3 linked regions of the Cricetulus griseus genome follow. The protein of the gene in region 1 purifies or fractionates together with the protein of each later gene. This does not show direct contact. Links are inferred from orthologs where the notes say so. Each region holds a gene or a part of one and is shown in the gene's direction. Other genes may lie near its edges.

Region 1 (4,090 bases):
TTTTTTCTTTCTTTCTTTCTTTCTTTCTTTCTTTCTTTCTTTTTTTCTTTGAGACAAGGTTTCTCTGTGTAGCTTTGGAGCCTATCTGGCACTCGCTCTGGAGACCAGGCTGGCCTCGAACTCACTGAAATCTGTCTGCCTCTGCCTCCTGAGTGCGATTTTTTTCTTTTTTAACTCTAAAACGCAGCAAGGCTGGAGAGATGGCTCAATGGTAAAGAACACTTTTGCAGATTGAAGGCATGTACCACCATGCCTAGATTACAAGTTTAAAGTTAAGTAATATTCCTACAATTATTGATTTTGAGACAGGGTTTTGCTGTGCAGCCCAGGATGGCAGTCCTCCCATCTCAGCTAGGTACTGGGTTTGCAGGTGAGCACAGTTATACTAAGCTCCTGGAACTGGTTTTTATAAGGATCCTCCTGGCAGCTTTATGGAAACAGTGTAAAAGAGGTAGGGTGCTAGAAAGAATAGAAGCAGGGAGGTCTAGCAGGGAGCCTGCCCATCACATAGAGTGTAAACTCTCCACTTGTTCATTCCCAGTCTACCACTCTGTTGAGGATGCTGAGTGTTGGTTTTGATGTTTGCCAATTAAAGGACTTAGGCAAGATGTCCTATCTCAACTTTATTTTATTTTTTGGCTTTTCTTTTTTCTTGTGAGATCCACAGGATTCAGAGATGCAAAGCCAGAAAGCTCACTCACTGTCTAGGCAGCTGACCCAGAGTGATGTTCAGTGAGGAGGGCATCCAAGCTCAAACAAGTTGGCATTCACTGCAGAGCCTGGGAAGGAAGTCCTAGACTCAGTGGTTCTCAACCTTCCCAATGTTGTGACCCTTTAATACAATTCCTCGTGTTATAGTGACAATTATTTTCATTGCTACTTCATAACTCTAATTTTACCAGTGTTATGAATCATAATGTAAATGTTTTGAGGATAGAGGTTTGTCGAAGGGGTTGCGACCCACAAGTTGAGAGGGGCTGTCCTACAGGGTTCTCACAGGAAGCCCTTGGTGCTAGCAGCACTTCGGGCATTCAGAGTTCTAGCTTTTAACAAAGAGTGCAATAATTCTCTAAGTTCTCCCCCAAATCCCTGCCTTAGAATGTACTTGGGGCCCAGGCTATGCAGTGCCACAGCAGGTCTCAGGTTGTGGAGGTCTGAAAGTGTGAGTTTCCACGCGTTACGCCTGCCTCCCTAGTGAGGGCAACCGAACTGGAGGCGGGAGTCAAGAGTTCCAGGGAGCTCCTACTGGCCAGCAGGGAAGGGCGGAGCTCGAGCCGCTGCCCGCCCGGAAGCGCGCCGGCGGGAAGCCGGCGTGGAGCGCGCCTGTGGAGGCGCGGAGATCATCGTGGAAGGTACTCAGAGGGCGGCGGGAAGTTTACTGCAGAGGCGGCACCAAAGTGACTGCACGTCAAAGAAGCCCCTCTCTGCGTTCCCCAATTTGACGGAGGTGTGAATTGGGAATTGTGGCGCCAGAGCCTCTTCTAGGGGCCGCAATGTGAGATCCGAGCCCCGGGACCCCAAAGTCCTCTTGGCTCCGGTTCGCACTGTTTGCTGACTCTCTCATACACAGCGAAGCCTGCACTGGAAGAGGGTCCTCCCCAAACTAATGAGTGTGAAGGTTGAAGGTGGACCCTTATTACAACAGCCCTGTAGGTGGTGTCAGGGATCACGATGCAATATTACCCTTGTCCTTGATCTAGCAGAGTTCTTCTGTCTAGCTGTTCACAGAGTCTCCCTGCCTGGTACCCCTCCCGGGCGGAAAGATCCAGTTCTCATTAACAGCACAGATGTAGGTCCTAGGGCTGCAGTGGCCACTCCGCTCTATACCTCGGTTTCTTGGGCGGGTGGTTTCAAGAGCTCCTTGCTTCGAGGCTGAGTTATTGTTACTCTGATCCGAGAAGGAACTGGCCCCCTACGGCTCACTCCTCCCCCTGTTTCTGCAGCTTCTCTCAGCCTTGCCTGAGCAGGCTCGCTTGGCAAGCTGGGACATGTCTGGTCCCCGAGGACCTTCCATGGGTGATGGCTACAGTGTTGGAGGGGCTAGAGTCGAAGGAAACTGCCGCTACTGCAGAGGATGCTGCAAGACCCGCTGTGGAGGCTGTGGATTCCAGGCCTGGGGCACCTTTTCTCCTGGCTGGGAACCAGTTGAACTTGGACATACGTCCAGGGGGCTGCCATCGGCTGCAGTACCTGTGTTCCCAGCAGCCCCCAGAGCTGCTGCGGGTGGAGTTCTTGCGACTCAGTACCCACGAGGACCCCGGACTGCTAGATGACACCCTAGCCCAGGTTCCGTGGAGTCTGCTGCACCTGCGCTCCCTGGTCCTCAAAGGTGAGTAACCTTACTACTGACCTTATCTTCATCTCTAGCCCTGCTTTAAGTCTGCTTCTTGGTCCACAAAGGCCATCTTGCCCCAGCCCTAACTCCAGACCTCTCTTCTCCCTGCACCTCAGGGGTGAACCCCTACCCCACCCCTGTTCCCTGTCCTCAGCTATATCACCTTCCTCCCCAAAGCAAGGCTGACTGGGCTCTGTCTCCTGAGTCTGGACAATGAAGGTGCCCAGTTGGGTCTCTGCAGATCCCAGTTGTACTTGGGTGATACTGTCATCTGATATGAACTGGTGGTCTTTTCTGTCTGCTTTTCTGTCTTTCTCTGTCCCTGTGGCTGGCTTCAAAGGGAAGCATCCTCCCTTCTGCTTTCTCTGGCAATCGGGGCTGAACTAAGACTCCAACTCTGAGGGCTACAGCTGTCTCCCCCACTTCCAGGGGGCCAGAGCCGGGGTGCCCTGGGTGCCTGCCTCCATGGTACCTTGACCACTCTGCCTGCTGGCCTGAGTGACTTGACCTGCCTGGCTCATCTGGACCTGAGCTTCAACAGACTGGAGACATTGCCAACCTGCATCCTGGAACTGCACAGCTTGGATGCGTTGCTGCTTTCTCACAACTGTCTCTCAGAGCTGCCGGAGGCTCTGGGGTCCCTGCCCACCCTTACTTTCCTTTCTGTGAGGCACAACTGCCTAGAAAGGTTACCCACAACACTGGGGTCCCTGTCCACCCTTCAGCGTCTCGATCTCTCTGAGAACCTTCTAGACACCATACCCTCTGAGATTGGAGACCTGAGCAGCCTCATTGAACTCAATCTGGCCTCCAACCGGCTACAGAATCTCCCGGCTTCCCTTGGTGAGTAGCCATGGTACCAGCTTTGGTTCACCAGCTAATATAGAGTGCCCCTCGGCCACTGCCCAGACCTCCACTCCCACGTGGGTCCCTGTAGCCCTAAAGTCTTGGGGCTGGCTTGGCCTATGAAACTTTACTGCTCCCAGCTGGCCCCTTGACTTTGCTTCTGCCTCCTTGGTTGCTGGTAGTTCACATTCATCTTTGTCCCACCATGTGACACAGCCTGAAGCCTTTAGTGTGAGTGTCTTGTCAAGGTGCCCAGGGCCACCATGAGTAGCCCTCTGCCAACCCTAAGCCAGCACTTGTCTGCAGCGGGGCTGCGGTCTCTGCAGCTCCTTGTTCTGCACAGCAATCTCCTGACCTCAGTGCCCACTGGCTTGGCCCACCTGCCACTGATCACTCGGCTTGACCTGAGGGACAACCAGCTCCGGGACCTGCCTGAAGAGCTACTAGACGCTCCCTTTGTCCGCCTGCAGGGGAACCCTCTGGGTGAGGCCTCTCCAGCACCCCTAAGTCCCCCAGGTAGGCTCGGCAAGGGGCGTGGCCAGGCTATGAAAGGATGCAGGCATTTCATCATTCTGACCACATGCCTGTCCCTTGTGCAGACGTACCCCCGATTCCAGAAATGCCCAGGCTATTCCTGACCTCAGATTTGGACAGGTATCGGTGGGAAGGTGGCTAGAAGACATCTGTCTACCCTGTCTCCCTGGCCACATCGGGGTACCTGCCCTCATACCTCTTTCCTCACTCAGCTTCCTTGTGACTCCCCATGGCTGTTCTGTGACCCTGGCCTGTGGTGTCCGCCTCCAGTTCCCAGCAGGAGCCACCACCACACCCATCACCATCCGCTATAGACTGTGGCTGCCTGAGCCCCACCTGGTCTCCCTGGGACCTCATGACTTCCTGCTTAGTGGT
Region 2 (3,645 bases), on another chromosome or scaffold:
AGAAGACCCGATTTGGTTCCTATAACCCACTTCAGGTAGCTCAAACTTCCTGTAACTCCAGACCCAGGGGATCTGATGCTCTCTTCCGGCCCTGCATAGAGACCTGTATTCATGTATACACACACACACACACACACACACACACACACACACACACACACACACACCACACACTACATAATAATAGAAAAATTAGCAGTTATATCTTTTTTTGGTATGTCATCCAATACATGAATCGATGAGCTCATTAATCACTTCATGTTACAAAATTAATCTGTAACTTTTGACCTGCCTATTATGTGCAAGGCTCTCATGGAGATTTTGTGTTAAGATTCAACGACTCATTTACTCTTTCACTAAGGTAATCCCTTATGTTATTTAAATTACTTTTTTTTTTTTTTTTTTAAATCTAGAAGAGGTTGTCTCTTTTACCCACATCAAACATGGTAGAAAAAGCTTCAACCTGACCTCATGGGCCCTCAACAAAGATGGCTACCACACTTCCTGATCTTGCCCTCAACAAAGATGGCTACAATACTTCCTGTCCAGGGCTTTTGCCTGAAACAAAGATGGTGTTTTCGGTACAGGATCCCTAACAGTCTGGATTCCGGTTGTAGATTTTTTTTTTTTTTTTTTTTTTTTTTTTTAAAGATACGTGGTCGCAGACGTAAGTAGCAGGACTCCATCTTCTCTCGAAATCCCCGCGCTGTGGCGACATCGCCCCTGCGCGGCTCTCTCGGTTCAGTTGGCTCTGGTCCCCGAGCTAGTCTAGGCTTTGGGTGGCGGTTTCCCCCGTGAAGATCATCGCGCGGCCTCTTGTACCCCGAGCATCGCCGGGAGTGCTTCCCGTGTGTGACACAGCGACGGCTCTCAGTTGCCGAGACAGGGAAAGTTCCAAATGGAAACACGCGGCGGAGGGTGGACACCCCCTCCCCGCCGGCCACCTCAGGACTTTGCGGAGGCTTGTGAGGAAGGTTGGGATCCGGTGTCCCCCTTCTGTGCTCCGCGGGCGTCCGAAACCCTACCCGACACCCATGCTGGCCCCTCTTTCCCCTCCCATTTCCTTCAATGCCACCACACAGCCACCTGTGCTCATTAAACGCCCCATACTGCACTGTGACCCAGGTCCTGCATTCCCTCCTGTGACTTTCTGTAAATAAGGCTAATTGTAAAAGGCACACAAATACTTTCTTGAACGCGCTGGTCTTTTCTGAAAGAAAGATCCTTAAACTCATTCTGATGTCTAGATTGCCCTCCCCACCCCGCTCCCCTACTCTCCACCTCCCTACCCCTCTTTCGAGGTAAGGGTCTATAATGCCCCTGGCCATTTTAGCAGTTACTGCAGTGTGGGTGCTGGATTGAACGATGAAATTAATATTAAATTAAAATCCATTTTTTCCCTAGCATGCTAAAATTAATTTCCAGGGATTGCATTTTAAGTAAGGTCTCAGATCTGTTTTCTGTTGGCTCTCTTACTGAAAGGAATTGTAGTAGGACCCCGCTATGTGGAAAGCAGGGAGAAATGGATTCATAATTAGTGTTGTCCATATGCTGGGAAGTGTTTGAAATGAACTTGATTCGGTTTAGCAGCCATGTAGGAAACACTGTGGCTTGGCACAGTGATATGAACGTCTGACTGACCTTGAGATGCTCACTAATGATGTTGCAGCAACACTATCTTTAGGGGGTCCATCAGCATTCCTGTAACCCGAGTGCTGATTTTGTTTCTTTCCAGGGAGAAATGGATGCCAGAGACAAGCAAGTGCTCCGCTCTCTGCGTCTGGAGCTGGGTGCGGAGGTCTTGGTGGAGGGACTGGTCCTGCAGTACCTCTACCAGGAAGGGATTTTGACAGAAAACCATGTTCAAGAAATCAAAGCCCAAACCACAGGCCTCCGGAAAACAATGCTGCTGTTGGATATCCTGCCTTCCAGGGGCCCCAAAGCGTTTGATACCTTCCTAGATTCCCTCCAGGAGTTTCCCTGGGTAAGAGAGAAGCTGGAGAAGGCAAGAGATGAAGCCACAACTGAGCTCCCTACAGGTAGGCCTGAAAGAGATCACTTCAAAACAGCTCTGGAATTGTCCAAACTGTGCCCTTTGGATTGAAAGTTGGGTGTTAAGGGGGACGGGGGCTATTGGCTCTTGAACAAATGGGCAAGGAATTTGAACGGAAAGAACATGGCATTGGAGGGGCAAACATGAGGAGGTGGTGTTAAGAAACTCAAGGGAGGCCAGAAATGGAAGGTGAGCCATAAGTCTGGGAGGTTAAGGAGGGAGCTCAGAGGACAATTTAGATCTGCTTCCAGGGAAACCTGGCAAGTTACTTGTGAGGCATGTTCTCTGCGTTCTCCGAGGAGAGCCAGGTCAATCTGAGCCCTTTGGCAACAGGAGCCATTTGTGAAGTGCAGATGGGGAAACCAGGCTTTGGCCTTCTGATAGATAACTGATTTGTGGGGTGCCAAGCTGCCAGCTGGAGAAGGTCAGATCATGGAGACAGCCTCTAGGAAGGCATGCCTTGCACCTGTTCCTTCAGCCAGCCTGTGAGGCCTAGAGGATTAGTCTGAAGCTTGCTTTGGTCTCTCCCGCCCAAGGCTATTGGATTAACATGGCCTTTTAAAGTTAAGATTTGTTCGGACATCAGACACCTGGGGCATTTTGTTTTGCAAGGGCAGTAATTTGGGGGAGAATATCATTTTCCTTTTCAAGAAGAATTGGAAGTTGGGGTTTTAAAAGAAACAGTTTGGTGCTGTAAGGCTGGTCGTGAGGAAGGAGCTGTGTGTGTGTGTGTGTGTGTGTGTGTGTGTGTGTGTGTGTGTGTTTGTGTGTGTGTGTGTATAGAGCTGTCCCTTTAAGTCCTCTAATAAATACTGCTGTTTACAATGATTGGGGAACAGAGGGCTGACCTAGAAAGGCTACTTTTTTTTTTTTTTTTTTTTTTTTTTTAAAGAAGATAACTGAAAGGTGACGAAGTCAGCTGATCCAAACTGAGTTAGCATATTTCCAGAGTTAAGAATTCAACATTTTCTGAATTTTTGATAAAGATACAGGACCAAGTCAGTGGTCTTCAGAATTTATTGCTATTGTTTTTTTTTTATTTTATTTATTATTTATTTATTTATTTTTTTAAATAACTGTAACAGAGTGCATGTCCTTAGTCTCAGCTCTCGGGAGGCAGAGGCAGGTAGATCTCTGTGAGTTCGAGGCCAGCCTGGTCTAAAGAGCAAGGTCCAGGACAGCCAGAGCTACATGGTGAGACATAACTAACTGGTTAAAGAAACCAAATGCTACTAGTAAATTACTTCTATTATTTTTTACACCATGGGTCTCATATTTTGAATGATTTCAAGACCACATGTACTAAGTAATCACAACTAATTCTTTTTTCACTGATGACATATATCTGGATATCTGACCAGTATGGGACATCCAGTTAATTTAGAAAGACCTGGTAAACATTTAGTGGGAAACCTAAAAATATCTTTATTCCTAACTTGTCCAAATTACATGTCTTCTTCAAACAGTGAAAATGCTGGCTTTTGAGGGCCTCTAGAATTTTTCAGCTTGGGTTGTCTTTAGAAAATTACATATTCCATGTGTTTGAACTAAACCAGGGTAAATATCTTAGGCATTCCTACCACTTTATTAAA
Region 3 (4,171 bases), about 190 Mb from region 1:
CAAATCCCTGGAACCTGTGTTAAAAAAAAAAAAAAAAAAAAAAAAAAAACCCTGGCCATGGTGACACTCATGATGCCAAGACCAGAGATGCAAAGACAGGCAGGTTCTTGAGGCTCACTAACCAGAATACTTAGCCTACTACACAAACGAAAGGTAAGTGAGTCCTTTCCTGTTTTAAAAAAAAAAAAAAAAAAAAAAAAAAAAAAAAAAAAAAAAGAGGTGTGTACTTAGAGGGAGATACTGGAGGTAGTCTTCTGGCCTTCACATATGCGCACTTTTGCACACACACCCTCAAGCCCCTCCAAATAAACAACAAAAAAGCTCAACCTAGGTACATGTGTTTGTTCATCAAATTTATGTTCACTTGGGTACATGCCAGTGTGTGAAACTGCTAAGTCACACAGTAACCGTAAAGGTAACATTCTGTATTCCTTCCATTTGTGAATGTTGGGCATTTTATGTTTACTTTGAGTCAAAGGTGAGTTTCCCATAATGCCCTATGACATTGAACATCTTTTTAATGTTATCTGCATGTTTAGGTTTCTGTTAAAATGGTTGTGAATTTTCTTAAGATGGTGGTTGTGTGCATGCATTAGTAAGACTTCTTTATCATGTCTTTTGTAATCCTCTCTCTTTCCACTAATTATCTTTTGAGAATAAGTGATCATTGCATTATCGTGCAACTTAATGACACCAGTAATAACACTTTTTGTTTTTTTTGGCCTTGAGATTTCACAATTACCATTTCAGAGGGCTACAAAATAATCACATTTCGTCCTCCACAGCCCGCCGTGGCAGATGAAGGCTCATTTGCCAGCTCTCAATCGCCACTGTCGCACTCGGTGTTTTCCAGCTGGCCAGGGTGACTCAGCCCTGACAGAGCAGCTAGGAGCACCTCTTTTCAAGGGCTCTCTCAGAACGAGCCGAAAAGCAAAGCAGAACTGGCATCGTTTCCGCGGGCAGGCCTCCGGGATCGACGTGGGAACCGTCGTGATCGGCGGAACTCACTGCCCAGCGGGCCCTGCCGCACTCACCGCCCCGGGGCGTGAGCAGAGGCGGAGACAGAGGCGGACGCAGCCTAGCGCCGCCCCACCCAGCGAAGCTCCGGTGTAGGAGGACGAGCGGACCCGGAGAGGCGTCGCGAGCGCGGGTGTCGGTGCCGCTCACCTCGCGGGGGTCGCAGGGCCGCGCGGGCGCTCAGAGAAGCGCGGTGTCCGGTGAGCCTGGGCGCGGCTGGGCGCCACTCCTGCACCGAGCTCGGTCCCTGCGTCCTCCGCACGGCCCAGGAGCCGTCCTGGCTGGGCAGCCACGGCGAGGCGCAGCTCCTGTCGCCCCTGCCCTCGGGTCGGTGTGCTCACCTGGGCCGGAGTGCCTGGCCGCGGAAAAGGAAAGTAACTCTGAGGTAAGGCAGCGCGGAGGCCGCGGCAGGGTCCGCCGCTCATTTCCTCCGCAGCTGGCTTCCCGGAAGGGGCGGCGACCGCGGGATTCCAGCGCGTGGGCCGGAGGGCGGGCCTCGTTTTCCGGAAGCGGGTGATGGGCGGGGCCGCCAGCATACCCGGAAGTCGAAAGGCGCGGGAGTTGCTGGGTGTCATCTAGCGGGAGGTTGAACTCTTTTTGAGGTGGTTTTAGCTCAAGTCGCGACAGAAAGTGGACATCTGCGCCGTGACCACGGTTGTGGAGTGACAGTGCGACAGGTGTTTCTCTTTCACTATTCTTTTGGTAGGGGTGATGGGTTATGGAAGCGTTAGTGCTCTAACAAGGTTGCCTAAATGTTTTGGACCTGCCAACCACGTTGTACTTCGGCCGCAGGGGGTTGCAGAGCTATGGGTAGCTTTCATCATTATCTCAGAGGTGAGCTAGCAAATGAGGAGCGATCCACGTCCTCAGTGAGAGAACAGTGTCAAACGTCCAAGGCTCCTCTGGTCCTCAGTGGCGTTTGCTTTTGTGGATTGCTGCAGCCCCCTCTGGGTTCTGAAGAAGATAAGCCACATCCTCTCCACCGGTGTTGGACAGAGCCTCCTGGGGTTGGATGGTTCGGTCCAGGGTGGCTCATTCTTTGCCTCTTGTAGGTCATTTTGATTTCCTTGCTCATTTATTTGGGGCAGAGTGAGGCTGTTTTAATCAGGAAATTCCACAAAAGTCCTTCAATCTTTAGAAAGCTATTAATTCTTTCTTAGCTCATGAAAACTCAATGGCAGTGTGAACTTTGAGATGTAATGATTTAGTCGTGTAATTTTGTACCCACTGGGAAGACACCACTAAGGCTTTGCTGTATATAAAAAATGAAGACTAGTTTTGTTTAAAATGAAACTTATTTTGTTTTATTACTGAAAAGTAGCAGTAACAGTTACCAACTTTAATTTTCATTTTTCTCTTTCTTTCCTGTTTTGAGCCTTGTACATAATGTTAAGTTTTCATGACTGTTGCAAACTGGGAATGGTTCTACTACTTATTAGTTCATAACATGTTAATATCACCAGTAGAATCTTGGAATTGAATCAAAAAGTATAGTTTCCCACACTTTGGTTGGATATTATTCTGGCATATGTGTCTTACTGTGAAGACATGGATAATATTAATTTTGTGTGTTTTGTTTTTCAAGACAGGGGTTTCTCTGTGTAGCCCTCGCTATCCTGGTTCTCCCTCTGTAAACCAGGTTGGCCTCAAACTTAGAACTCTGAGATCCATCCACCTGCCTCTGTCTCTCAGTCCTGGGATTAAAGGTGTGCACCACCACGCCAGCTGAGACAGGGTTTCTTTATGTAATTCTTATTATTCTAAAGCTAACTATGTAGAAGACCAGACTGGCTTTGAATTCCCAGAAATCTGCCTGCCTCTGCCTCCTTAGTGCTGGTATTAAAGGCATGTATCACTGTGCCTGGCAACAATTCGGTCTTTGCATCTGAGGTTTGATCTACATCTGGGGTTTTCAAATTTTTATTTGACTTTCTAGAAAGCAGCATGTATTAGAGAACTGAGAGTGGAAGTCTGAGAAGGGTAAGGTTTGAATCCATTCATTTCAGGTGAATCACTTAACCTCAACTTGTAGTTTCTTTATTTGTAAGGTGAAAATAGTCCTAATAAGATTAGTTCACGGGTCACAGTGTGCTAATGTATTTGATCATGCTTCATTGAATTTTATTCTAACTTTGTCTTTTGTTGATGGTTTGATTCCTTGTTCATTGCCCTGCTTGTGGACGAAGCACAGACTGTTTTAATTAAAGAATCCTGGAGATGGCTCCTGATCGTGTCACATACCTGAGTAAAGTCAGAATTCTGTTAGGGAAGACATGGGAAACAATACTCAATTGATATTCTCTCATTCCCTGATTCTCTGTCCTCCTGCTCTTATTATATATGATTGTCATTGCAAATTTAAGAGAAAATTAATTGGGTTTAAAGGGAGTCCAGCCATTGGGGGGGGGTTTGTATACACACACACACACACACACACACACACACACACACACACACACATTTCCTGAGGTAAGGTCTCACTGTGTAGTCCTAACTGACCTTGAATTCACTAAGTAAGCTTGAACTCAAATAGTGTATATTTACTATTTATATAATTTATAAATAGTACTATATTTATAATATAGTAAATAAATAAATACTATATATTTTCAAATGTAATACTATTTAATATATATATATATATATATATATATATATCCTATTTCTGCATTAATAATCATTTATCCCAAAACACTAGCAAATCCCATTGAAAAGGACATGGTATTAGTTGAAATTAGTTATGGCTTTCTATAACAGGTCAACATACCTTAGTTAATTTTTAAAGCACTGATTATCTGGCTTTCTACCTTACATTCAGTGTTTTTGCAGTCCTTGGGTCTTCCTCAGTACACTGCCCACATGGCTTTCTCAAAATACACTGCTTATAAGTTGACTGGGGCTCATCAGCACAGCACTTGACTGGCATGTGTGTGGCCCTGGGTTCTGTCTCCAGCCTGCCAGAAAACAGCAGCATAAACTTGAATCATTCAAGGGGAAAAAAATAAAAGCACGAAAGAAATAATTGAATATCCACCAAAGGAGGATTTGTGCTAAGATCAGACTAGACTAATAAAGCACAAGACTAGAGGAAAAACTGGCTTAGATCCAGAACCATGTTCCCAAAGCATAGTAGAGGCCTTCCCTAGCCCCGCCT

The links.
Region 2: the proteins of Pidd1 (region 1) and Cradd purify together in Homo sapiens (affinity purification with western blotting; 8 studies listed by BioGRID and IntAct, with this or other methods). This does not show direct contact. The link is inferred for Cricetulus griseus from reciprocal best matches to the Homo sapiens genes PIDD1 and CRADD.
Region 3: the proteins of Pidd1 (region 1) and Ripk1 purify together in Homo sapiens (affinity purification with western blotting; 3 studies listed by BioGRID and IntAct, with this or other methods). This does not show direct contact. The link is inferred for Cricetulus griseus from reciprocal best matches to the Homo sapiens genes PIDD1 and RIPK1.

Annotation. Positions count from the first base shown.
Region 1 is NC_048596.1:59,739,661-59,743,750, forward strand, and holds the start of Pidd1 (p53-induced death domain-containing protein 1), read left to right. Parts: upstream 1-1,166; 5' UTR 1,167-1,495; intron 1,496-1,501; exon of another isoform or gene 1,502-1,649; intron 1,650-1,943; 5' UTR 1,944-2,019; coding exon 2,020-2,329; intron 2,330-2,764; coding exon 2,765-3,178; intron 3,179-3,487; coding exon 3,488-3,697; intron 3,698-3,780; coding exon 3,781-3,835; intron 3,836-3,927; coding exon 3,928-4,090. UniProt on the Homo sapiens protein: Component of the DNA damage/stress response pathway that functions downstream of p53/TP53 and can either promote cell survival or apoptosis.
Region 2 is NW_023276806.1:161,323,253-161,326,897, reverse strand, and holds part of Cradd (death domain-containing protein CRADD), read left to right. Parts: intron 1-538; exon of another isoform or gene 539-667; intron 668-687; exon of another isoform or gene 688-974; intron 975-1,027; exon of another isoform or gene 1,028-1,301; intron 1,302-1,735; coding exon 1,736-2,039; intron 2,040-3,645. UniProt on the Homo sapiens protein: Adapter protein that associates with PIDD1 and the caspase CASP2 to form the PIDDosome, a complex that activates CASP2 and triggers apoptosis.
Region 3 is NC_048596.1:253,842,850-253,847,020, forward strand, and holds the start of Ripk1 (receptor-interacting serine/threonine-protein kinase 1), read left to right. Parts: upstream 1-1,264; 5' UTR 1,265-1,402; intron 1,403-1,539; exon of another isoform or gene 1,540-1,694; intron 1,695-4,171. UniProt on the Homo sapiens protein: Serine-threonine kinase which is a key regulator of TNF-mediated apoptosis, necroptosis and inflammatory pathways.